Struthio camelus: one gene and its partners. The protein of the gene in region 1 binds, or shares a complex with, the protein of each later gene. Links are inferred from orthologs where the notes say so. Each region holds a gene or a part of one and is shown on either strand. Other genes may lie near its edges. The genes, in order: G3BP1, CAPRIN1 and ELAVL4.

Region 1 (7,641 bases):
GAGGTCCAGACTTAATATAGCAAAACTAGGACCTCTGACAAGTATAATGTTCACTGCCTAAAAAATTAGTAGACAGTCTTTAAAAATAATTTGAGTTTTTTTTTTTTTTTTTTATTACCCCAATGAAGTAGCTAAAGACTATCAAGTCTACTAGTAGTTCTGGCAAGGAGAAGTTATGTATTACTTCAAATCAACTTTGAAGACTTTAGGTAGTCAGCTGTAACAAGCACCAGTCTTCTAGGAAAAAAAAACTTTCACCTTTTGTTCAGTACAATAGACTAAAGCCAGCATAACAGCTAGCACCACCCTAAGAACTGCTCTACTTGGTTTCTTCTCTTTCATTTTCCATTCATTATATAAAGTAAAAAAAAAAAAGCTCAGGTTCTAATATTAAAAACTGCAATAATCTATTTTCTAATTTGTCCAACAGGTCATTTCTGTTAACTTTGTGAATGCTGTCTCAGAAGTATCTACTGCATGAGCAACAATACCTGTGTACATGCAGTAACACTATCTTTGTTTTCATTAATGCACTTCCATTAAAAAGCGTTGCTCTGTATGTGATTGTAAAAATTCGCAAGGAGAAACAGAGTTTGATTTTTCTGAACCAATCTTCCAATAGATATATGCTCAGCCACTTCAGAACATGAGCGGTATATCAAAGCTAAGATGCATCTTGTCAAAAACGTAAACACACTTTAGCTCTTACAGGAGTGACTTTATAAGAAGTGTGAAATGCAATAACAAGTCTACAAATCTTTGGAGCACATTCCAGAAAGATTGTATGCAAGCACACAAAAATTAAGACTGCAAGGAGGAGCTTGCTGTCTGGTCAAGTGCCTAAAGATCTCATGTTTAAAATCAAGAGCTTCTGATCTGGAATATCATCAGTTGTATGATGAACTCAAATCGATGCTATTGTGACAGTGACAAATGAACAGAAGAGCAGAAGAATAACGTTTTATAGTCACAGTTAGGAAAAAAGTTTTCGCACTACATACTTATTGTATGTTCCTATTTCTGAGCCTGCCGTGCCACCAAAAAAAAAGAAGTAAACACTTTCTTGTATGTTCTAAGCTGTACGTTCAACTAAACCGTCCTTTAGCAAGAACAGCTCCACTACATTGAGCTGAAATACCTCTGGAAAAGGTGAATTCACTTCACAAGATGCGACCATTTTACCACCAAGTATTATAGAACTACCTTTTAGGAAACTCATTAGGTTTATTCTTGACAGAGGAGGAATAAGAAAATAGAAAACTTGGTCAAAAGAAAGATTCAGAAAAGAACTGAAGTGTGGTTTGTGTGTCAACTTCTGCACTCGCTTTTCTTTGGAATGCCATTCTAAAAAGTCTTGGTAGTTGAAAACAATCCAGCATGCACACCAAGTTTGATTTACGGCACCTGGAAGTGTTAGCTTTCAGAGCTTGATAGCAGCGTCCACATTTCCTAAAGCTGTCACTTCTGCTTGTGAGAGCACGGGCTAGACAAAAATAGCATACGCTGGAAACATGGCGGCTTGCTGCAAATGCTGCTTTTAACCCATTGTGAAAAAATCATTTTCTTTGGAAGGAATACTTACTATGTGCAACCCTTAACATAAAAGGCCACCAGGTACTAATAACACCTTATATCACACACATTCAGACTAAAACGTACCTGAAACACATACATGAAAACCTTTTCCTTCTCCTGACAAACATATCTAGGGCCTTACAAAAAGCTGGAAAGTCTTCATAGATGGACTACTTTGCATTTAAACGTTGGCTTAATCCCAGATCCAGCCAAGGTCACGAAGTATATCAGGAATAAGTTACATGCTCATCTTATGCTTGAGTTATGACCCCCCGTCCCCCACGCGTAAAGTTGCGGCAAGAGAGACACACACCTACAATCTAACCTACTGGCACACTTGTGTAAATACCAAGTATTATTCCTCAACCTACCGCCAACCCACTGCGGAAAGGGCCTACCCCAGCTCAGCGGCAGGTCTGGGGGCTCCCCCCAACCCAGCGGAGGGGCAGAGCAGACTCCGCAAAGCCGCAGACAAAGCTCGCGGCTCTACACCTCCGCTCGCACAATGAAGCCCCCTCGCTCGGGTGGGTGCCTCCCCGGGACCCCCCCCCTCCGAAAATTAGCACTCTTTTTTCCCCAATATCTACTTTCCGAGCGGGCGCACCATTGCATCCCGCTGCCGCCAGGACTCTGTTGTGGCGCGGCCGCCTGGGGTGGGGGGACTCCCCGCTCCGGGACACCCCCAAGGACGCTGCCGAAGCCCGTCTGCGGGGCAGGCGGGAAGGGCGCCCGCCGCACAGCGCCGCCGGGCCAGGCCCGGGACGGCCCCTGCGCGCGGGGCCGGGACCGGCGGGGCGCGGGGGCAGCCGGGAGAACGAGGGGTGGGGGTGGGGGGAGACCCCTCCGCTCCCCTCCCCCCCCCCCAAGCGCGCGGCCTACCGCCGAGCCGCGCGGCTCGAGCCAGGCCCAGCCGTTCGCAACCGTCTCCGGAAGCAGTCGACCCCGCCGCTGCCCTCTCCCCGGCGCGGCCGCGGACCCTCGCTCTCCTCCTCACCTGCGGGCGGAGCGGGACGGGACGAGAACGGGAGGCGTCGCTTCACCGCAGCCCTGCCCGGCGGACGAGAAGCACCTCACGCAACGGCGTGCTCAGCGGCCGGCTACATATATCCGGCGCGCAGCCTAGCCCGGTGGCAGGCGGCGCAGCCAATCAAAGAGCGGCGCTCACTCTCACTCGGATGCTGGTTGGCCCATGGTGGGGAAAGAAGGCGGGCGGGCCGTTGAGCGGCAGCACGCTTCACAAACCACGCGGCCCAGCTCCGCAGGGCGGTAAGAGTGACCGACACCGAGATGAGCCAATGGAAGGTGGAGCGCCCGCTGCTAGGGTGGGGCGGGAGCTGATGGATTTCCCTAGAAGCCAATAGAACGACGCTCCTCGCGCTGATAAGCGCGAGGGGCGGCACTGGCCTGACGCGGTAGTGTGGTTGAGGCGCAGAGCGGCGCCCTTGAGAAGGTGCTGGTAAACCCCGTTATAGGTAGGGGCGGCACCCCATGCGGCACGGAGCGCGGCGGCCAATGGAAGAGCGCAGCGGGCCCTGACGGACAGGCCGGCTCCTGGCCATTCTTAAAGGGGCAGGCAGCCCGCGCGAGTGCGGAACCACCACCCCCTGCTGGAGGGACGGGGCCGGCACTCAAGATGGCGGCGGCGGGGAGGGCCAAAGGTGTCCAAGCTCACCCCGCCCCGCCTCGCCTCCCCCGGCACCTGCCCGGCCCCCCAGCTCGGCCTCCCCCACACCACCAGCCCCATCACCCCGGCAGCCCCGAGGCCCCCCCAGCACAGCCAGCCATCAGGGTCGCCCCACGGCCAGTGCAGGCCGTGCCGTGCCGCCCACCTCAGTCCCCGCGCTCAGCATTGCGGCCTTGTGGCGCCATTAGCCTCAGTAGCGCTATACGGACTTAGAGCTCTGAGGACAGCCCTCGGCGACAGTCCCTGTAGAACTAACCCACTTAGAAACCACCAGCAGGGTCAGGTAAAAGGAGCTTTTCTCCAGCTTTCTGCACAGGACTACAACTGAGGTCACCAGAAACAGGTTCCCAAACAGCACGTCCACTCGCACAACAAAGGAGAAGACAGCAATCACCATCTCCAAGCTAGGAAAACATGGGCTTACTTCTTCTGCTCACCCTCAAGGGACCCCAGAGCAGAGGAATTCATTCAGCTGCTCCTCCTTCACAAGTTTTGACCAAAGTAGACAGGTCATCTGTCCCAGAAGAACAAGTCAAGTTGGGAATTTTCCAACCCACTATGCAAGGCCCAAGAAATCCTGCAAAGGAGGAGTGAGCTCTTAAAGTTCACAGCTCCTTTGTCACTCCCAGGAGCTATGCTTGGGGACTAGCAGATGCTGGTCCAGGGAGCCAGAGGAGATAAGGATGGAAAGGGAGCAGACACTCAACCTGAGCAAGCCAAATCACGGAAGGCCAATTTTTTCCTCTTTGTTTATATCATCTCCTATCCCTACTATACCTATGACATGAAGCAATCAGATATACTTGACCCTGTAATAATGACTCCTCTCCCTCCACCATATCCGTGAACATTGCCTAAACCCTTCCTGCCATGCCTTGCAGAGATGTAGCCAGTGGACTGGCACTGGGCCATGTTCAGCATTAATATCCTTCCCCCCCACACACATACACCCCTGCTATTTATAGACTAAGCCATGTTGCAATCTGCCAGTTCATAAATCAGTAGCAGAGATTTTTGGAAAGCTTAACATGAGACCAATGACCCAGCACAACAGCCATCCAAAATAAAACCTCTCTGCCAGTCAGACCCCAGATGTCTCTCTGGAAACAGCAGCAATATAACAGGGGGACAGGCTCTCAGATAATTCCATTTCTCATGTAAGAAGGTTGGTGCAACAACAGGGTCCTGCACACATTAGAAATGAGTACCCTCTTTCCTCTAATGCAACTGAAGCTTGCTAAGAAAGACCATTCACATCCCCTTCTGCCCAGTCTTCCTGGCAGGGGCACAGCATATTCACTATAAATTCATTGCAAGGGGAAGAGTTAGCCAGGGCCAGCTGAAGTCCCAAGATGCAGCTACAGTTGTTATCCTAACAGATAACCAGATACACTCCCTACCCCAGTTATTTTTCCAGTTACAAGTTAGGCCTCTTAATAGGCAGATATTGAAGCCCAGCACACAGTTAGCAAGTGTTACACCTCCCTACACAGCTCTACCAGCTTTTCTCAGCTCTGACCTACTGCACGGTCTCCTTTCTTGGCAATCTACAGCCTGCCAACACACCTTAACTGCAATAACCCTGATCCCAGCCTCTGTGTCCCACCACAGGTTTCCCCTCACTTCCTCGAGTTCCAGCCTCTTCTACCTCGACTCAGATTTTTAACAAAAAACCCCATTCTCCTTGAAAGGGCCAAGTAGACACACAGACCCCCCACCCCCAGGGGACAGCTTCCTTTCACTCAACCTACTTTGAAGCAGAGACCCCCCCAAACCCCTAATCTTATTCAATAATCCAGTCTACCAGAGCTCTTCTATTCCAGTGCATCTCAAAACCTCAAAGACAGTTCTGTGAAGCAACCAAGCCAACCTTCACCTCTATTGCTCCACCTTTATGACTCTTCCCATCTCTCTCCTGCAGCCACTTTGTCTCTGCGCTGATCATTAGCCTTTGATCACAAAGAGGCATACCACTATGCTAAGAGTGGTGAAATTCCCCAGCAGCTGTTACGGATCCCTATTGACTACAAACTTTCTCAGCTGCTTTCTCTTTAACCCTTTCGAGCATCTCATGCCTTCAGTTTACCTCAGTTTTACTTCCACCTCAGGCAAACTGAGCCAGTTTGTTCAGCTGAGAGACGTTCTGCTTCAGCATGACCCCGAGCAGAGTTCATCCAACATCATCTCCAATGCATCTCCTAAGAAGGAGGGAAAATATTTTAGTGCAAGAAAAACAGAAAGAAAAACATAACTGCAGGAGCAGGGCTGTAGTTAAGCTGTAGTGCTGTCAGAGAAAAACAATTCTGCTAAGAATTACATAGGTGTCCCTAAAATACTACTAAAAGCAGTTTGTGGTCAGTATAAGAACAGGCCCAATGGCATACAAACACCCGCATCAAATACAGTTTGGGTAAGGCTTGTGATAAACAGGGCCTAAACTAATTCATGCCAGTACAAAAAAAGGCATTAGCTCTGATACTCCTGTTTTGCTGTAACCCCTTCTCAGCACAGTAGCAATCTCTCTTTAATTACACTACTATCCCTGTGTTTCTGTTTAGTTAACCCCAGTTACTGGCCCCTGGATGACTTTGCAAAATCTTTTGAAAACCACTTTTTGTGGAGCTATGCCAGGAACTGGGAGGTTACTAGCTAGAAATGAATGCAATGGGAATGATTTTGCTGGTGCAACATTAACATTAAGCTAACATTGAGCTACCCCACGGTGAGGCCCGGGTCGTCCCTGCTTGGGGGATATAAGCCTGGGTTTATACCAGTGCTGCTCCACAGACCAACCCAGAGTCCATCTGGTCCCTAGTAACAGCCCAACTGCCATGTAACAGGGGGAAGCAACCCTGACTCCCAGCCCGCCTGCTGCTTGGGAGAGGAGGGGGCAGGCCCAGGGCAGGGGAGGCTGGGATATCAATTATATATATATATTTTATATATACCTATATGCGTGCGTGTGTATATTACCCTGATATATATTACCATAGAGGGGGTGAGGGGTTTGTGTGAGGCTGGGAGGCCTGTACGGAGCAGGGGCTCTTTGGGGGGCTGGGGGAGGCCCGTGCGGGGCCACGGTCTGCGTGGGGCTGTGAGGCCTGTAGGGAGGGAGAGGGATGGGGGGACCCATGGGGGGCTGGCGGGCGACGTGGGCCGTTCAGGGCGGCCGTCCTGTGGGCTGGGGCAGGGCTGTGCGAGGTCGGAGGGCTGTGCGGGCCTGGGGGAGGCCGGGCGGGGGCTGGAGGGCGGCGCGGGGCGGTGGGAGGCCCTGCGAGGCCGCCGGGAAGGGCCGGCCCCGGCCCGGCCGAGCGGCGCGGGGCGGAGCGGCGCGGAGCGCGGCCCGCCCCTTCCTCCGCCCCAGCCGCCCCGGAGCCGCCGCCGCGCTCGGCCATGCCGGTGGGTGCCGGGCCGCGCCCCCGGGGGGGCCCCGCCGTGGGCCTGGGCCTGGGCCTGGGCCTGGGCCTGGCTGGGATCGGGCATCGGGGCTGGGGCGGTGCGGGGCGAAGGGTAGTGGGGGACTGGGAGAGCCGTGTGGGGCCCAGGGGGGATCCGTGTGGGTGGGGGGGGTATGGGGCGAGGTGGATCTGTGTGGGGTCGGAGGGGATCCGTGTGGGTGGGGGGGGTATGGGGCGAGGTGGATCTGTGTGGGGTCGGAGGGGATCCGTGTGGGCGGGGGGGGTATGGGGCGAGGTGGGATCTGTGTGGGGTCGGAGGGGATCCGTGTGGGTGGGGGGGGTATGGGGCCAGGTGGATCTGTGTGGGGTCGGAGGGGATCCGTGTGGGTGGGGGGGGTATGGGGCCAGGTGGATCTGTGTGGGGTCGGAGGGGATCCGTGTGGGTGGGGGGGGTATGGGGCGAGGTGGATCTGTGTGGGGTCGGAGGGGATCCGTGTGGGTGGGGGGGGTATGGGGCGAGGTGGATCTGTGTGGGGTTGGAGGGGATCCGTGTGGGCAGGGGGGGTTGGGGCAAGGGGGGATCTGTGTGGGCTGAGATCCGTGTGGGCTGAGGGGTGTGTGGGCAAAGTGGATCTGTGTGGGGCCAGGGGGCATCTATGTGGGTGGGGGGGTGTGAGGCAAGGGGGGATCTGTGTGGGGGGAGATCCCTGTGGGGCAAGGGGAGGATCCATGCAGGCAGGGGGGTGTGTTGGGCAAGGGGAGATCTGTGTGGGTGGGGGGGGTGGGGGGGCAAGGAGGGATCCGTGTGGGCTGGGATCCGTGTGGGGCAAGGGGGGGATCCGTGTGGGCTGAGGGCTGTGTGGGGACAAGGTCTTTGTGCTGGCTGGGCCCTGCCCCAGCAGAGATGCCAGGGCCAGGAAGGTGCTGCCAGTCCCCATGGCGGAAGAGCTGGTCAGTCGGACTCACTCCATAGCGCCAGGGATT
Region 2 (7,480 bases), on another chromosome or scaffold:
GAGGAAAAAAAAAATAAATAAATAGGAGTCATAAAAAATTATGTTGCTTCATACAAATAGGGAGCAGACTTGCTAATAATGAGAGAAAACGACATACCATGCATGGGTCAGAATTGCTGGTTTAGGAAAACACAGTACATAAAAGCAGGGTGGGAAAGATGGGGAGACATAGGATTGGCTTCCGCCTTGGAGAAGCGGGTAATGAGAAGATAGAAAGGTACGGAGCTTGGGTACAAGGTTTGGGGAGATAGGGGCACCTATGCCTAGACAGGACACTAGCACTGTCTTGACAGGAATGGTCCAAATGAGACGGAGCTGCAGAGACACAGCTTGTCTTTGGATTTTGCAAGGAACTAACCTGAGACCTCGCTCTTGCTTGGAAGTAGTTCTCAAGAAACAGGGCAAGAGGAATTTCTTTTATTGGAGAAAAACAGCAGAGCAGGGGGCTATTAGTACTTCTGTGCAGGATCTTCATGGGGAAGGGCAGGTCTTGAGTTTGTGGAAATTACCTAAGCAGCTCCGTGCATGAGGGGAATCTGAAATAGAAAGGGCTAGGAAGGTTGTGTTGAGAACAACTACAGTGACATAAGGGAGGATCAAGGAAACTGTCTGAGGTGGCAGCACAGCGGAGGAGGCTCTATATCCCTACAGAATATTTATTTATCACTTGAGCCCTGATTAGAAGTACACCAGCAAGTGTAAGACCGTTCTCCTCCTTTTTTTTTTTTTTTGTGCCACTGGTTGGTTAAGGGGTTTTTTGTTTGTTTGTTTTTGTTTTTTAATACACCTGTCTGGTTTTGTCCATTAGCGTTTCTAAGGGCTGGAAACTGAGAAACACAGAAAAGATGTATTCCAAATTTGCAATTACAGCTGATGTAAAATAATGACAAATGAAAACCCAGAGAAGGACAGCATGTGAGAAGTCTCACTGGAGAGCAAAGAGCAGATCTACATGTCTCCTATATCTGTCTCCATGCTGCTTGTAGGGAGGTGGAGGCCTCCTTGTGCAATTTTGTGGTCTGAAGGTTCAGGTTTGTGGAAGTCCAACCTAGGCTTTCACTGTTCAGTAGGACTTATTTTTCCCTCCTCCCTTGCCTTTCTGCAGTGACTAAGCAAGTGCTACTCCAAAATCAGTAACTTCAGATTTCATCTTCATTTGTACAGTTTGCAAACATGAAATACAAAGCCAGCTCCCTACAAATAAGATGATTTGATTTGTACCATAATTAGGCAGAAGTGTGATTCCATCCAACGAGCTAACAAAAAAAGAGGTCAAAGGAGGAGAGGCCTGAATGATCTACAGGGAGGTCATCCTGCACAAGGTAAGTAAGGGAATACTTATCCCAAAGAAACGTAAAGACCTATGTGCTATTTACAAGTTTGTCATGCCAACTGGTCTGCCGATAGGGCATGATGTTACCACAGTAAAGCTTGCTCACGGAAATGTCTCTATATAACAAGTGGTTCAACACTTCCTTTGAAGTAAAAAGGATGAAGTCTCAACTCCTTCACCCTTGAAGGTGAGGAATTCTTATGCAGGCTTTTCTATCAGGAGTTCATCAGTGTTGTTGGCACAGAGGTATAATACGTTTGAGGTCACTGATCCTCAAGGAATGGTATGAAAAATGTAGATTAATATAGTATGACCTGTTGAAAATTATAGGCCTATTCACTGTTACATATATTTTAAGAGGACAAATCTCAGCTTGACTACACAGTGCAATTTTTGCATGAAAGTTTTTTTTTTTTTTTTTTTCAGAGTGAATTTTAGATACGGAAATTTTAACTTTAAAGTTAATGCAGACTAGGCCTAGATAGGCCTGCTTCTGCTTACATTTGCTGCCTAAAATGAGGTGTTCCCAGGCCACTCCAAGAGATTACTGAAAGTTTTGGGGATTTGGTATCAAAGAGGTTTAACTGTAGTTTAGTACCAAAAGTGGATTATGCTATGTACAATGATGATAGACGCCTTTGGTAAAGTTGCCATTATATAGTAACTCATTGTTCAATGAATTTAGCAAGGCTTATCCCATGTTATACACAGAAATGTTACTTTATTAGTCTGATATCGAACATAAGTTCATTTTATTAGTATAATAGTATAATATAGAAGTCCTCCACTTTTAGTTTCTGTGTAAGAATACTTTCTTATGCTTTAGCACGTTGAGCGTAGCAATAGTCTCAATTCCATCTTTGACTAACCAGAAAGGCATCTGGTGTAATTATGAAGAGTTTTGATGCAATAACTGTCATGTAATTATCTCAGGAGCAGTATTCTTATCTTGGTGGGGGGGGGGGTTGGTTTTTTTTTTTCTTTTTTGAGACCATGAACACTTGCCATTCAGTGGTATGTCCTCCCACTAAGGATAACTATCTCTCTAGTGGTCAAGAGATGGGCTTTATTGTGGTCCAACATGACTTTTTAACTCATTGTCACCAGTCCTCCCACTGCTGTAACTTTTATGGCCGTTTTCGAGTTCTTCAGCAATGTAGTGTTGAGTAGAAACGATTTTAAGCTCCTGTGACTTGGCTGAAAAATGTACTTAAGCCATTGAGTTCCCAGAGCTTATAAAGAATTGCAATGGCAAAGCAAGAAAAAGTAGAAATAAATAACAATGGATAAAACAATACCATATTATTTAAGTATTACATTTTATGGTCAAAAGGCCTCAGTATACTTCAAATGTTCATGAAGAAACTGCGTCTGATTTGGGAAGAAGGTAATTTCAACTGTTCTGTAAGGGTTATAAAGAAATAAATAACTACATAAAAAATTAAATCTTGTAAATACAATGGCAAGAACAAAACATTACTGGCGAGTAGTGAAAAAGGAATTACTTTCAATATTTGATGGCTTTTTTTATACTTTATTTATTCGACTGAAATATATGCAGTTGGATGATTTATTACACTTGTCCTATAATCTGCTATGCAAAGAGGCAATTTGGAAAGCAAATAATCTGATAGCAGCTCAGTGCTTTGTCATCTTATGTGAAATGCAAGCATACATGAAAAGAAAAGTAGAAGCTTAAGAAGCAATGTTTACAGATGGAATAAAGAAAAATCTAATCATTCACACATTAACTACTAGAACATGAGGTCAAAGAAAGCAGTTTTCTGCTGGGTTATCAACTGCAGCTAACTCATGGAGAAACAAGAATCAGAATGGGAACAAGGAAAGGGAAAGGACTGTGTATAAGGGATCTGGTGACGATAGGAAGGGTAATGAGTCCTCTTCCTTTCTGCAGTGGAGAACCATTAGGCTGGCTCAGTTGAAGACACGGCTCTCACTTGTGTCACGTAATTGATTGTGTGGCTCCTTGACAAGATAGATCAAAGAATGATCCTGCTTTAAAGCAAAACAAAATGATAAAAATATGATCTTAACCAGTATTGCAACCAAAACTTTCCTCTTGAATTTGAAGGTGCGGAGAGGCTCAAGGGATATTTAAACTTACAATTTTTGGCACAGGCTGGTATGACGCACGCCTTGGTGCAACTGTGGCTTCTCCTCAAATTGAGACTGCTTTGTCTTAAGAAAGAACGTCATGATAGTTCATATTCTAACAATAATACATTAAAATAACACAAATTGCTTGTACTTGGTCTATGACTACAGTCTAAAACAAAGGCCAAGAAGGAGTTTAAAGAACAGAGTTGAGGTAACGGTTAAAAACACGTTTTGGGGCCTTATCTTGCCAAAGTATTTCTCCCATTGATTTCAAAAAGACAGCGGACTGAAATATTTTCAATGCTATTTGGCTCCATGCCGGCCACAGCCAGTGGCATTTCATTTCCTCATTAAAGAAGGTGTAACGGTCATGTGAAGTTTTCCTTTGCTTCACAAAAAAACAGATGCTATATCAGTACCTTTTTAAAAATTGATATTATTAGTTGTCAGCCTAAAGGTGAAGGTTCAGCACACAGCTGTTGCAGGGACACTGCACAGCTTTGGGCCACAGAAACGCAGGAACAGTTAAGGTGAAGCCTGGTAAGACAGGCGAGCGAGGGCAACTGTCTCTCGGGGACCGAAATGCGGTTATTAAGGCCCCCTGACAGCTGTGACACGCCATTCAAGGGAACCCTCCCGCCTTTAGGGACGTGCCTTAAGGGCAGGAGCAGGCAAAGAGCGGGCTCGGGAGCAGGGCTGAGGCTGGGAGTCGCCCACGGCGAGGCGGGAGCGGCGGACGGCCGAGGGGCCCTTCCCCGGGCAGGCCGCCGGCCTGCGCGACCCCCGCCTGGGGCAGGGGCTGCCCCACGCACGCCGACGCCGCCGGTGTGTCAGCGGGCGCCGCGGGACAGGACCGCGCGAGGGGGGCGGCCGGCCTCTGCCTCCGCCTCGCCAGCCAGGGCCGCGGCTCCGCGCACAACGGCCGCCGCGGGGCCCGGGCTCCGCGGCCCCTCTGATGGCGGCGGGCCGCCCCGCCTCGCTATTGTGTCTCGCGCGTAGGCGCCCGGCGCGCGCCTGAAGGACCCGCGGGCGGCAAGCCGAAGGGCAGGCCGGCTGCGGGCAAGCGCCTCCTCCGCCTGGGCACGGCCGAGCGCCGGAGCGGGCGGGCGGGCTCAGGCGTTCTCCGCGGGCACTCCCGGGCGGCGAGGACCCCGCGCTGCTCGCTCCCGCGCCGCCTGCCTTACGCGCTCGCGTGCGCGCTCTCGCTCCCTCCCCTCAGTCGCTCGGTGCGGAGGTAGCAGGAGCAGCGCAGGCGGCGGGGCCCGAGTCGGCTGAGGCGGCCATTCCTGTAGCGAGAGCGCAGCGCACTGAGTTCCCCCCCCTCCCCCGGGCCACTCGCGCACACGGTGAGGGGAGTGGCGAGGCCGTGCGGACACCGGCGGGGGGCGGGGGGGGGGAGGAGGGCGAGCTCGGGCGATGACCGTTGGCTCGGGGGGGGGAGCCGCGAGGCGGCCCGTCACGTGACCGCCCTGCGCGCGCCCGGCGGCGGCCGGCTCAATGGGCGGGGGGAGGGGGGCGGCGGGGCGCGCGCCGGCAGGTGCGGCTGGCGCGCGCGCCCTAGGCGTGGGGAAGCCGCCGAGTGCGCGCCCGCCCGCGTGTCCCCGCCGGCGGCCCGTTCCCCCGTAACGCGCTCTCTCTCTCTCTAGCAGAGATGCCCTCGGCTACTAATAGCACTATGGCCAGCAACAGCGGGAAAGCGGTGCCGGGCAGCGAGGCTGCCCCGGCGGCGGCGGCAGCAGCAGCAGCAGCCGCCGCCGCCGCCGCCCCGCCAGCATCGGGCGGCAGCATCACCTCGGTGCAGACCGAGGCCATGAAGCAGATCCTGGGAGTGATCGACAAAAAGCTGCGCAACCTGGAGAAAAAAAAGGTGCTGCTCTCTGCCCCCCCGCCCCCCCACCCCGGGGTGGGTCTCGGGCCCCGCGGCCCCGCTCCTCCCCGCCCGTCTCACCTCCCCCTCCCCCCGGGAGCTTCCGCCTTCTGGTGATGGTTGCCCTGGCGGTGGGCTACCTCGGAGCGACGGGGAAACATCCCATCCCATCCTGTTCCCTTCTGTCTCGCCTGTGCCGGCGATGCGCCGGCCGGCAGGGCAGTTCCTCAGCCGTGCCGTGCCGTGCCGTGCCGGCCGCGTTGGCTGGGGTGAGGAGCCGGCGGCCTGCTCGCGTTGTTCCCGGCGTCGCCCCCAGGGGCCGCCCGCTGGAAGGTTCCAGAAGGGCGAGCGGCTCTGCCTGCCGATCCCCTGCCGGGGTCCCCCTGCCCCCCGGGCCGGCCGCCCCTGCTGCGCGGCCCCGCGGAGCGCCCCCGGCGCGCCCCCGCCCTCTGCCACGCGCTGCCGGCAGCCGGCAGGGCCGGAGGGGTCGCGGCTGCCGCCCCCTCCCGCCGCGTGGCCCGTGTCCCGGCGAGACCCTCCGAGACGCGGCTTCCCCCCCCCCACACTCCGCCGCCTTCCGCCTTTTGTTCCCCTCGGGCGGCGGGGCCCGGCCGAGCTGCGCTCCCGGCCGGCCGCTGCGTTTGGCCCGCGATTTCCCCCCCCTCCCCGCCCCTCCCGGCGGCCTCCCGCTGCCCCGCACCGGCCCCGCCGCGCGGCGTGGGGGTGGGGGGCTGTGGCGCGCCGGGCGGCCTCCCCGCCCGGGCACATGGAAGCCGCACTAACATGGCGGCGGCGAGAGGCAGAGCCTCGGCCCCGCCGGCGGAACTGCATTGTGCGAGCAGCCGGCACAAAGCCGGGGGCCGCCGGCCACCCCGCCGCGCCCCACCGCGGGGTTTCACTGCGGCTACGCGCGCCCCCTCGGGAGTCTCAGCTCAGCGGGAAGCTGTCCTCAGGGAGTTATTTATAGGTACAGCAGCGACCAGATCCGTGGTCCTCAGAGGGTTCGAGCTGTGACAGCAGGGAAAAAGGGTGCTGTGGTTACTTTCGGTGTATACGGCCCCCGCTCTAGCTCGGTGTTGTTCGAGCCACAGAAGGGTTTCTAGCCCACAGAGCACAGAGTGTCCATCGGAGTTAAACACTAAAATACGTGTTACCTACAGTCTTATTTCAAGCTGGTATGTTAATAAGCTAAAATTTGGGAGTGTTAAAAATAACCTCATATCTGTATTGAGGTCCTAAATCTGTTTTTTCCACTTCACTGCCCTTTTACAGTTTTTCTTATTTATGAATTTGGCCTTTTTCTAAACTAGCACTTTAAGCAGCGGTAGTCTAGGCTAGTGTCCTGTGTTTTAGGAGGCAGAAATATCAGCAGTGAGTTAGGCAGTATAGCTGAGTTACAAATGAAGCAAGCTGGGTGTTGCTTTGTATCTGTAAATGTGTGTGCAATGTGGTTTCCCACTTAAAAAATGGATAGTGGATTTTTTTTTTTCCAAGCAAAACCAAAAGGACAAGCCAGGGACTTTAAGTTTTGGAGTTATAGGTTCTTGTCCTGGTCTGAGTACATATAGGTGCATATAGATGACTGTCTTAAACTCATTATTAAAATATGCATACATTCACACACACAAAAATACTGATCCTCAAGTTGAGAAGGAATGCAAAAATCTTTTAATATGTCCCCTAAGTGCTTTGGATAAAATAAAATGGTGTGAAAGGTTCAAAATGAGTGTCATGTCTAATGTATAGAAAAATCCTCCAGAAATAGCTTTCTAGGATGCTCAAAATGTATGTTTTGAAAATTAAAATTGGAAGGTGAAAAGTCTTCTGATCTATTCTGTACTTGGAAGAAATAAAGCGGATAAGCACAGTTTCATTGGTGTGTGGGTCAGCTTTCCTTTCTAGTAGCATTTTTATTTACCTTTAAAAATAAATAATTTACACCTAATTTATACCTGGCTGAGCCATTTCATTCTTTTTGAATGGACTTTTTGGTCAACTTCTATGTGAAGTATCTTAAGATGGAAGGATGTATGGAAGGCTATTATTTTCTGACAGAACAGGGTGAAGATTAGGGGTGTGTTTGTCTCATGAAAGCCCTAGTTTTTTTTTAGTTATGTGTCTGTGGCTGCTGTCACTGCTTTTTATAATTATGATGTCATAGC
Region 3 (7,885 bases), on another chromosome or scaffold:
TGTAATAGAGATGTTGGCCCACCTCCTTGATCGGTCTGTACTCTGACATTCACAGGAAGCCCTTTGCTGAGATGGCAGGCTGTGATCTTATATGAAGAGTAAAGTTCTTGTTTTCTTCTTTTCTTTATTCTCCTTCTAATAGGTAGGCCTAATATTATTGCAAATTTTCCACCTCCTTCTCAGCTCCTGTTTGTTGTCCCCTTCCTCAACACTGCCTGCTCTGCTCCTTTCTCTGGCCCCTCCTCATTTTCTTTTGCTCAATTTGATGCATTTTGGAAAGTGTATGTTGGGGGGAGGGGGGGTGTTAGAGGTCTTGTGCTCTCTTGTGCCCATGCACATTACACAACAGCACAGCTTTTCCAGGTTTTCACTGACTTAGTAGCTGGGTGCATGCCTGTTTCACTGACATGCATGCATGCTTGGAAGCCCAGTTCCCAGTTTTGAAAATGAGCATGTGGGTCATATCACCGAGACTTCTCTCATAATCGAGCTATTTACACCTACTCGTTTTGTTACCTCTGTGCTCTGCTGCGCCCTTGAGAATTTTGTTGCAGTTTCCCAGCATTCAGACATAAGTATCCTCAGTGGGACTTGCAGATGCCCACATCTTTAGAAAATTAGTGTGATACAGCAACTATGAAACATCCAAAATATACATCACGTAAGGCATGGAAAAAAAAAAAATTAGGCAAGCTACATTAAATAGCATATACATATAAAGGCAACTGAATTGTGATTTCTGTGGGAGCTGTAACAACTTGTTTAAATTTCATGTATCTAAATTCATGTTGCATGTATCTAATGCAAGGATTATATGTACATATAGGGGGAATGGGTTGGTCTGGTTTTGCATCAAGTGTCCTTTCGCTCCAGACCTCCTTAGCTTGCTCTCTAACCAGTCTTGGATTTTTCTTTCTGGGCACAGATCAAAAAAGTGACAGGATTTCCAGGCAGATCCATGGCATATTTAGCTTCCCCAGTAACAAGAGGAATCTCAGCATACAAGATAGCATGATACATCAGCAGCAGAGCTTGTACAGCTAGTCAGTGGGGTCTACAGCAGGGAGAGAACGAGAGGCAGGAATGGATTCCTGCATTCCTGAGAGAATCATCAAAAAATAGAAACAAATAAATAAAAGCCACAAACCATATCAGTCATCTTTTCTTTCACCTACTATTTAGTTTTTCCTATGTTTTGTGGACCTTTCTAAACCTTTTTTTAGCATTTGATTATCACTACTATTTTATGCATAGTGTAATCAAATGTAGACTAACCTTAAAAATTTTAATCTCCTTTTTTCCTCAAATATGTGAATTCTCTAATGTTAAAGGGCAGTTGTCTAAAGAACACTTTGTGTCATGCAGTGTTACAGTCTCTATCACCTACTGCTGCTTCATTTGCACAGGCCAGTTGGTAGGATTTTTTTCTTTAAACGTTCAGTAGCTAAATAAACTTATTTATAGATAGTATATAGTAAGCTGTTCAAATAACAGGTAAAAACTTACTGTATGGGTAAATACTCTGTATAGCCATTGTTGTTGTCCTCTCCCTCCTGCCCCCAGCAGGTCCATCTCATCTCCTATGCATACGCGTGCAGTTTGTTTAACAAGGCTGATTGTTCAGGTTTTTTCTCTTTCCTGATGTCTCACTTTGGGTTAGGCATCATGGACAATTTGACCCTAGGTTTTTTTTACCAAAACTGAGGACTTCCAACATCACTTAATTGTACATGAAGCTTTTCAGATTTTCTTGTGGTTGCATAGATGGCTTTGAAATAGTCGGTTCTCCCTGTGTACGTTCATAAGGGGTTTCCATCCCGTTGTATTCACTTTTTCTTCTGGCGCTCTCTTTTAAATTCATGCAGTGGATTTGGCAGTAGTGTAAGTGGTGGATGACGACATTTTAAATTACTATGAGATCCACTGCTGAAAATGCTGCATGTGAGCTCAGTGTTGTTAAAGATAGTGTTGATGTGATATCTTGAACTGGAGACTGTGTTTCTGCAGAGGTTCTTGAATTACTGCACAGGGCAAACCCTAGTGCTTGCATTGTGTAATGTCCTTTCCTAGCCCATTGTTTTCTTTTAAATCATTTTATAGTTCAAATCCATCTTTGTCGCGCGTGTCTCCTTTGTTCCTCATCCGCCTGCACCCTCCCCTATGCCAACAGCAAAATATTCTTTGGTCAGAATTAAATACTAACTTTATGATAGAAGTGTCTTAAAAAAGAATAAACGTAGTTTTAAGCATAAATGTGTAATCCACTGGAAAAGTGAAAATGAAGTGCTGGAAAATGCCAGGCTGTAGTTCATAGGCAGCAGCATTTAAATGGTTTGCTGTAATCATATTAGGATAGAATTAAACTGAATTCTTTATTTTGTACTGCAGTGAAATAGGACTGTTAGTGATCACTTTCTCCTCCCTCTTGCTCTGATGATTAGCGTGAAAACTCGAGCAGCAAAAATTATGGGAGTTCTGCAGCAGTGCACAGAGAAACTGGTGTGAAAGAGTCTGAGTTGAAGTTTTGTGTCCTTGCACATGAGAGCTCTGGTGCTTTCCTAATAGACTGAAAATGAGACTACTGCTGCTTTATAAGAGGTCTGTTCCAGCCACATTGCTCTACAGCTTGGCAGATGGTGGCATGTGAATGGTTTCATATTGATTGGATGGATTTGCCTCAGGGTAAGAGGAGTGTGGGTCCTTAAAGATGTACTTCCAGCCTTTTTTCCTTTTGGTTTGAAAAAAGATGTATATTTATAAAACATTTTTCTTTAAATCAGTGGAATGTGTGGTAATCAAAGCACTGAAGTTACCTGGAAATAAAAAGTCCTTAAATAGATTATCACAAAGACCAGAAAGCCAAGAATACTCATTTATTAAATGATTACATTTTTACATTAGAAGAAAGTGACACTTTTAATTAGGGTTCAAGGCATATGGTGAATGAGGAAATAAGCTTATTTCATGCAAACAGAAATCGATGCAAATAACCTTTCTCCTCATATAAAAAGGGATGACTTGAAACTCAATACATATTCAAGAAGGTTAAGTCATTACTGCATCACTTTAATATTAGTTAAAGGCCAACAAAGAAAATCATTGCTGTGCATATACTTACTCAGCAAGGATTGCTATATGTGAAAGAATTGGGTGATGGTACTTGTAAGTGTTAAACGCGAAGAAACCCCTATTCATATAATGCTTTTATTCCTTAGCCTCAGTATATAACCTCTTGGGTTCTGCCTTAGCATAGGTAGTTGAAAAAGGGCCCTTAATTCTCACAGCCATTCCTGCTAGCCAGTAAAGACAGGCTTTTGTGATCCTCTTTGTTCATTGTTCCTCCTTACACCTCTGTCTGTGCTTTAATCTTGTAAATGTTGTTTTTAATTTCTTCAATGCAAGTGTCCTTTTTACTGTGTTTGTACAGCACCTAACACAAAGTATTCTGATCTAATTCAAGCCTCTGGGTGTTGCTGTAGAGCGATGAGTAAAGAAAAAAATATATATATAGTAATAGGAGTATTCCTTGATGTATTTGACCTTAAATAAGGCAAAAACCATTTCTGAATAGCTTGCAGACATGTGGTGGGGAGGGTTTGATAACTTAGACTTAGGTGCTGTTGAAAACCGTCTTTTTTATATATATATTTTAGACTTGTGCTCTAATGCGTGTAACAGTGATTACATAAATTAATTTAAGCCAAAATACATCAATAGCAATATTTTATCAAGTTGTCTTCAATTTTGCTTGAAGGTATAGTTCATATTTTCTAACAGTCTACCCACATGTGAATTATTTATATGTTGAATTTTATGTTTTCTTGAAACACCATTGTCATGCTGAGCTTGATGTTAATTTTTTCTTCTGCAATAGAGAGCATTTCTATGGGTGTACTTTCTCTGTTAATTACACTTTATTACCTGAATTGATTGGTTTTTTAATCGTTTAGTTCATTTTTGCTGAATGAAACACTCTGGCATAAATTTTAAGGTCCCTTTAAAAAAAAAAAAAAATCACTGGTAAAAGTTAAGTGATTTAGGATTTTTGTTCGGTCTTACTCTAGGGAAGGAAAGGGCACAAAACAGTGCAAAATGTTTTTTTTTTTTTTTTCCCCCCCTGTTTTCCTGCTTGATAAATGGGGGGTGGGGGGGGGGGGAAATTGTGCTGTATATCACAACCAAAAGCTATTCCAAGAAAAATCTTTAAGATGGTTACTTGAATCTGTGTACACTGCCCACCTGGTGGTTATGGAGTGAACTGTTACTTTAAAGAATAGTTTAAACAACAGCCATGTTTGGGGCAGGCTAATCTTGCAAAGAGAGCAGTACATATAACAGGAGTCTACTGTATGATAAGGGGAAAATTCAGCTCACTGACTAGATGTTTTAATGTGCGAACTCTAGGGAAATAACATATTGACTATTCTGTTGTGCGCAAGAAAATTGAAGAACCCTTTGCAGACAGAGGGCTTGCAAAGGATTCTTTCTGTTCCTCTTAACCAAAATCTGTGGCAAGATGTTTGAAATCAGCAGGACGCTTAATGCTGCTTTGTTAAATAATGAGGTAATATTTTGTCACTTTTTCTGGGCAGCATCTGTTTTTTCTCCTTTTTCATATGTTTATGAAGGATTCAGTTTAATCTTACGAAAGTAGGAGATTAAAAAAATCATTCTTCAATTTATTATTTTTTTTTTCCTTTTGATGCTTTTGGAGAATTGGGTTGGCTTTTATTTGCGGTTTCAATCGGCTGCTGTTGCCTAGGACATTATGCCACGTAAGGCTTCTAAACTGCACAGAGTAGGTAGTTATTAACGCTGAATTGGCTTCTGGTATAGTCCATCTGGGCTCTGTATGAGAGAGCTTGCTAGCGGCTACTGATGCTAAGATACCCGCAACCTTTGGGATGTATGCGTGGTGGAGAGGGGCTCAGTGATATGAGATCACTTCTTTTAAGGGAAACTGTCATTAATGAGTCAAGAAACTGCTCATTTATGGTAAGGAGAGGGAGGGGGGGTTGGGGAAACAACCCTGTGATTTCATTTTGATATTGGATTAGCTGTTTAAGACAAGTTTCTTTTTTGTGGGGATGGAAGATTGCATTAAAAATATGCTTTGCTCAGGGGCTTACTGGCTGATTCTGGAGAGGCTATATTGAGAATTTGATGCTTTACAAATGTGTCACAACTGCGATGCAGTGGTCAGTCACTCACCCTGAGAGAGAAATGGTAGTATTGGAAACACGAGAATAAGGTTGACTTTTTCAACAATAGGATTCTGCCTTTGTCTTTACAGAGAGAGGCCTCTGAGGACGTTTGAGCGTTTGTTTTAGCGTTCCTCGGCAGGACTGAATGTGAGGGGTGTTTGGGGGAAAAGTGGTCAGCGTACAAAGTACCTGGATTTATAGACTGTTAAAATAGCTAATTGTTTAGAAGCACAGGGTGCAATTATTGTTTCAGAAAAATGGCTGAATCTTTTGATGTGTATAAGAAATGTATAGCAACAAAGTAGGCTGAAGTTGAAAAGACTTAAAAATAATTTCTCGATTCCTTCTGCAGTGTTATTAACCCCTGAAGAGACCTTAAGTAAAAATTTGCATTACAAATTTAACTTTAATATTCAATGTATATTTGCACAAGAGTCTATGGTAATATACTAGCTCTGTAGCATTTCGATGCCAGTGTATTCACTCTAATAGGTCACTTAGTATTTGAGTTAGGAAATCAATCTTAGTTTAATCTTTTCCAGTTTTTACTAAGCTACAAATGTGCTCAAAAAGATGCATGGTAAGAGAAATCCTCTGCAGCCTTTGAAATTGCTCGTATTTTAATTGAATTCAGTGCTCATTCCACAAATAGGTTGCATGGTGCTTTTAAATGCTTGGTCTTTTCTTTCTTGCTTGGTCTGTTTGTAGCTAGATTTGTACAAGCTTACTATATTTCATATATTTTATTGGTGTGTTTGTGTGTGGGTTTTAGTGTGTCTATGGCTTAAAGAAATTTAAAATGTACTGAATGTCAGTTCTGAGCTTAACAGTTCTTAGAGCATATTTATCCTTCAAAAAAAAAAAAAACTATAGAACAATGATTTTTCTGATTACGTATTTTTGAAAGTGTTTTTAGTGTTTTGTAGCCAGGTTTTGTTTCTCCAGAAGAGCGAAGTGAGCTTATATCATGGCCCATCCTAGCTTTCTCCGTTTTTAGCTCTTAACGTTTAAAAACGCTTGCAGTGATATTGAATCTTTAAAAGCCATATTTAGCTGTTGACTAGAATGATAAAATTAAATGATTCCTATGTATGTTTATGGATTAATACGCGGTCGCTTTAGTTTAGGCGAATGTTAATTCAAGGTTAGTTGCAATTATAGGATGCCATGCCTTGTTAGTTTGGCCAATACACGCTTTCAGAAAAATAGCTCCTCAAGTCAGAAAAGAAATGAATGCATCGTAATTAAAAGAATTTTTAATAAACTTGCTGTGGCTGGGAGATGGGAAAATATTGCTGTTTGAAATTGAAGTTTTGTTAGTTTGTCAGTGGAAGCGAGTGGAGGATTAATGGGTGTTCATTGTTAAGTTAAGCACGTTCCTCTCTAAGGCTGGAAAAAAATTTCTTTCAAATGCCCAGAGTTAGTCATCATTTTATTTCCTGTAAAGTTGGAGAATAACGAAGTGAGGTAGCGAAATAATTCTAAAATACTACTTTCATTCTGTGAGAATGTTCTGATAAATAGATGTCTGCTGTGCTTTAGACAAAGTCAAGTGACAGGAGTATCAAATCTAGTGCTAAAAATATATATAATTTTGAAAACTCTTACCGCTAAAGGAGGCAAGAGTAGTTGATTAATAAAATCAATAGTACCTAAAAATAAATGCAGTTTAAATGCACACTGAAGTGCTTTTGTCGTATCTTTAAGCCTAGAGGCAGATCATTAAATATGCATTTCTCCGGAAAGCAACTGTCTCAAAAGATAAGGTGGTTAAAATACTCTGGACCTCAAAGCCATGCGTGCAAGAGGTAAGAAGATGTAGTCGCTGAAGCATGGCTGAGGTACGACATCTCCACAGCAGAGGCTTACAGACTGTGGATGTGGCCTGCAACTGTTACTGTACTTGTGGGGTGGGAAGAGGTAAAAATACATGTATGTGTGTTGTTTCTTCAACTGGGCCTTAATTACTAGACACAAGCAGCAGTTCAGAAATCTGGTCTCTGTTGTTGTAGAGGTCACCAAATCATTAACATTGTCAATCTGGCGGTAGCTAATTTCAATAGCACCTGATGTTGCAACGCCTCCCTTAGTGTCCCCGGCCAATCGGCGCCCGGCTTCTGCTGACAGATGGTCCCATAAATGGATGTAAAAAGGAGACGCTGCAAGCCAATTTCAGCAAGGCTCTGTTCAGTTGTTCTTATCTACATCCTAGAATCGGGGGGCTTCAGCACAGTGCGCTTTTTTTATTCTTTTGCTGCACAAACGTCTGCACTGTGCTTTGTGGATCTTTAAAAAATAATAATAAAAATAATTCCCTGAAACCTTAGCAAATCTTTAGAAGAGTTGAAGCCTTTCAAGACCCAATATTTGCCATTAAGAATGGTTATGGTAGGTATTAGTAGATTTAAAATCTGCTTATAGCAATTTTATATATATATAGATAGATATAGAATCTAACATATAGATTTCCCCAAATCTGCATCATTCTCAGTCTGTGTTTTCACATGAATTTAGTTTTCTGCTACTGATTTGTTTGTACATTATCTCTCCCTTTTTTCCTCTCCCTTTCTCTCTCCCCTGCTTTCTCTGTCTCTCTCTCTCTCTCTCGCTCTCCCTTTCTTTCATATTTAATGTGTGCGTATCCTTTAATAAAGGATGTACTTTGTCATTTTAAGGTAATT

The links.
Region 2: the proteins of G3BP1 (region 1) and CAPRIN1 are in contact, whole or in part, in a crystal structure (PDB 8TH7), measured with the Homo sapiens proteins. The link is inferred for Struthio camelus from reciprocal best matches to the Homo sapiens genes G3BP1 and CAPRIN1. Residues at the interface, in NP_005745.1 of Homo sapiens: Glu4, Lys5, Pro6, Ser7, Leu10, Val11, Glu14, Phe15, Arg17, Gln18, Thr21, Leu22, Met29, His31, Arg32, Phe33, Tyr34, Gly35, Lys36, Gln58, Lys59, His62, Leu114, Glu117, Asn122, Lys123, Phe124, Tyr125; in NP_005889.3 of Homo sapiens: Met363, Gln365, Met366, Gln367, Gly368, Pro369, Tyr370, Asn371, Phe372, Ile373, Gln374, Asp375, Ser376, Met377, Leu378.
Region 3: G3BP1 (region 1) and ELAVL4 share a complex: the UniProt entries of both Homo sapiens proteins name them as parts of the TAU mRNP complex. The link is inferred for Struthio camelus from reciprocal best matches to the Homo sapiens genes G3BP1 and ELAVL4.

Annotation. Positions count from the first base shown.
Region 1 is NC_090954.1:13,100,334-13,107,974, forward strand, and holds the start of G3BP1 (ras GTPase-activating protein-binding protein 1), read right to left. Parts: upstream 3,046-7,641; 5' UTR 2,570-3,045; intron 1-2,569. UniProt on the Homo sapiens protein: Protein involved in various processes, such as stress granule formation and innate immunity. Plays an essential role in stress granule formation.
Region 2 is NC_090946.1:33,683,762-33,691,241, forward strand, and holds the start of CAPRIN1 (caprin-1), read left to right. Parts: upstream 1-4,475; 5' UTR 4,476-4,797; intron 4,798-5,097; 5' UTR 5,098-5,102; coding exon 5,103-5,318; intron 5,319-5,458; exon of another isoform or gene 5,459-5,736; intron 5,737-7,480. UniProt on the Homo sapiens protein: mRNA-binding protein that acts as a regulator of mRNAs transport, translation and/or stability, and which is involved in neurogenesis, synaptic plasticity in neurons and cell proliferation and migration in multiple cell types.
Region 3 is NC_090949.1:30,524,815-30,532,699, forward strand, and holds the start of ELAVL4 (ELAV-like protein 4), read left to right. Parts: upstream 1-4,863; 5' UTR 4,864-4,878; coding exon 4,879-4,995; intron 4,996-7,391; exon of another isoform or gene 7,392-7,583; coding exon of another isoform or gene 7,584-7,592; intron 7,593-7,885. UniProt on the Homo sapiens protein: RNA-binding protein that is involved in the post-transcriptional regulation of mRNAs. Plays a role in the regulation of mRNA stability, alternative splicing and translation.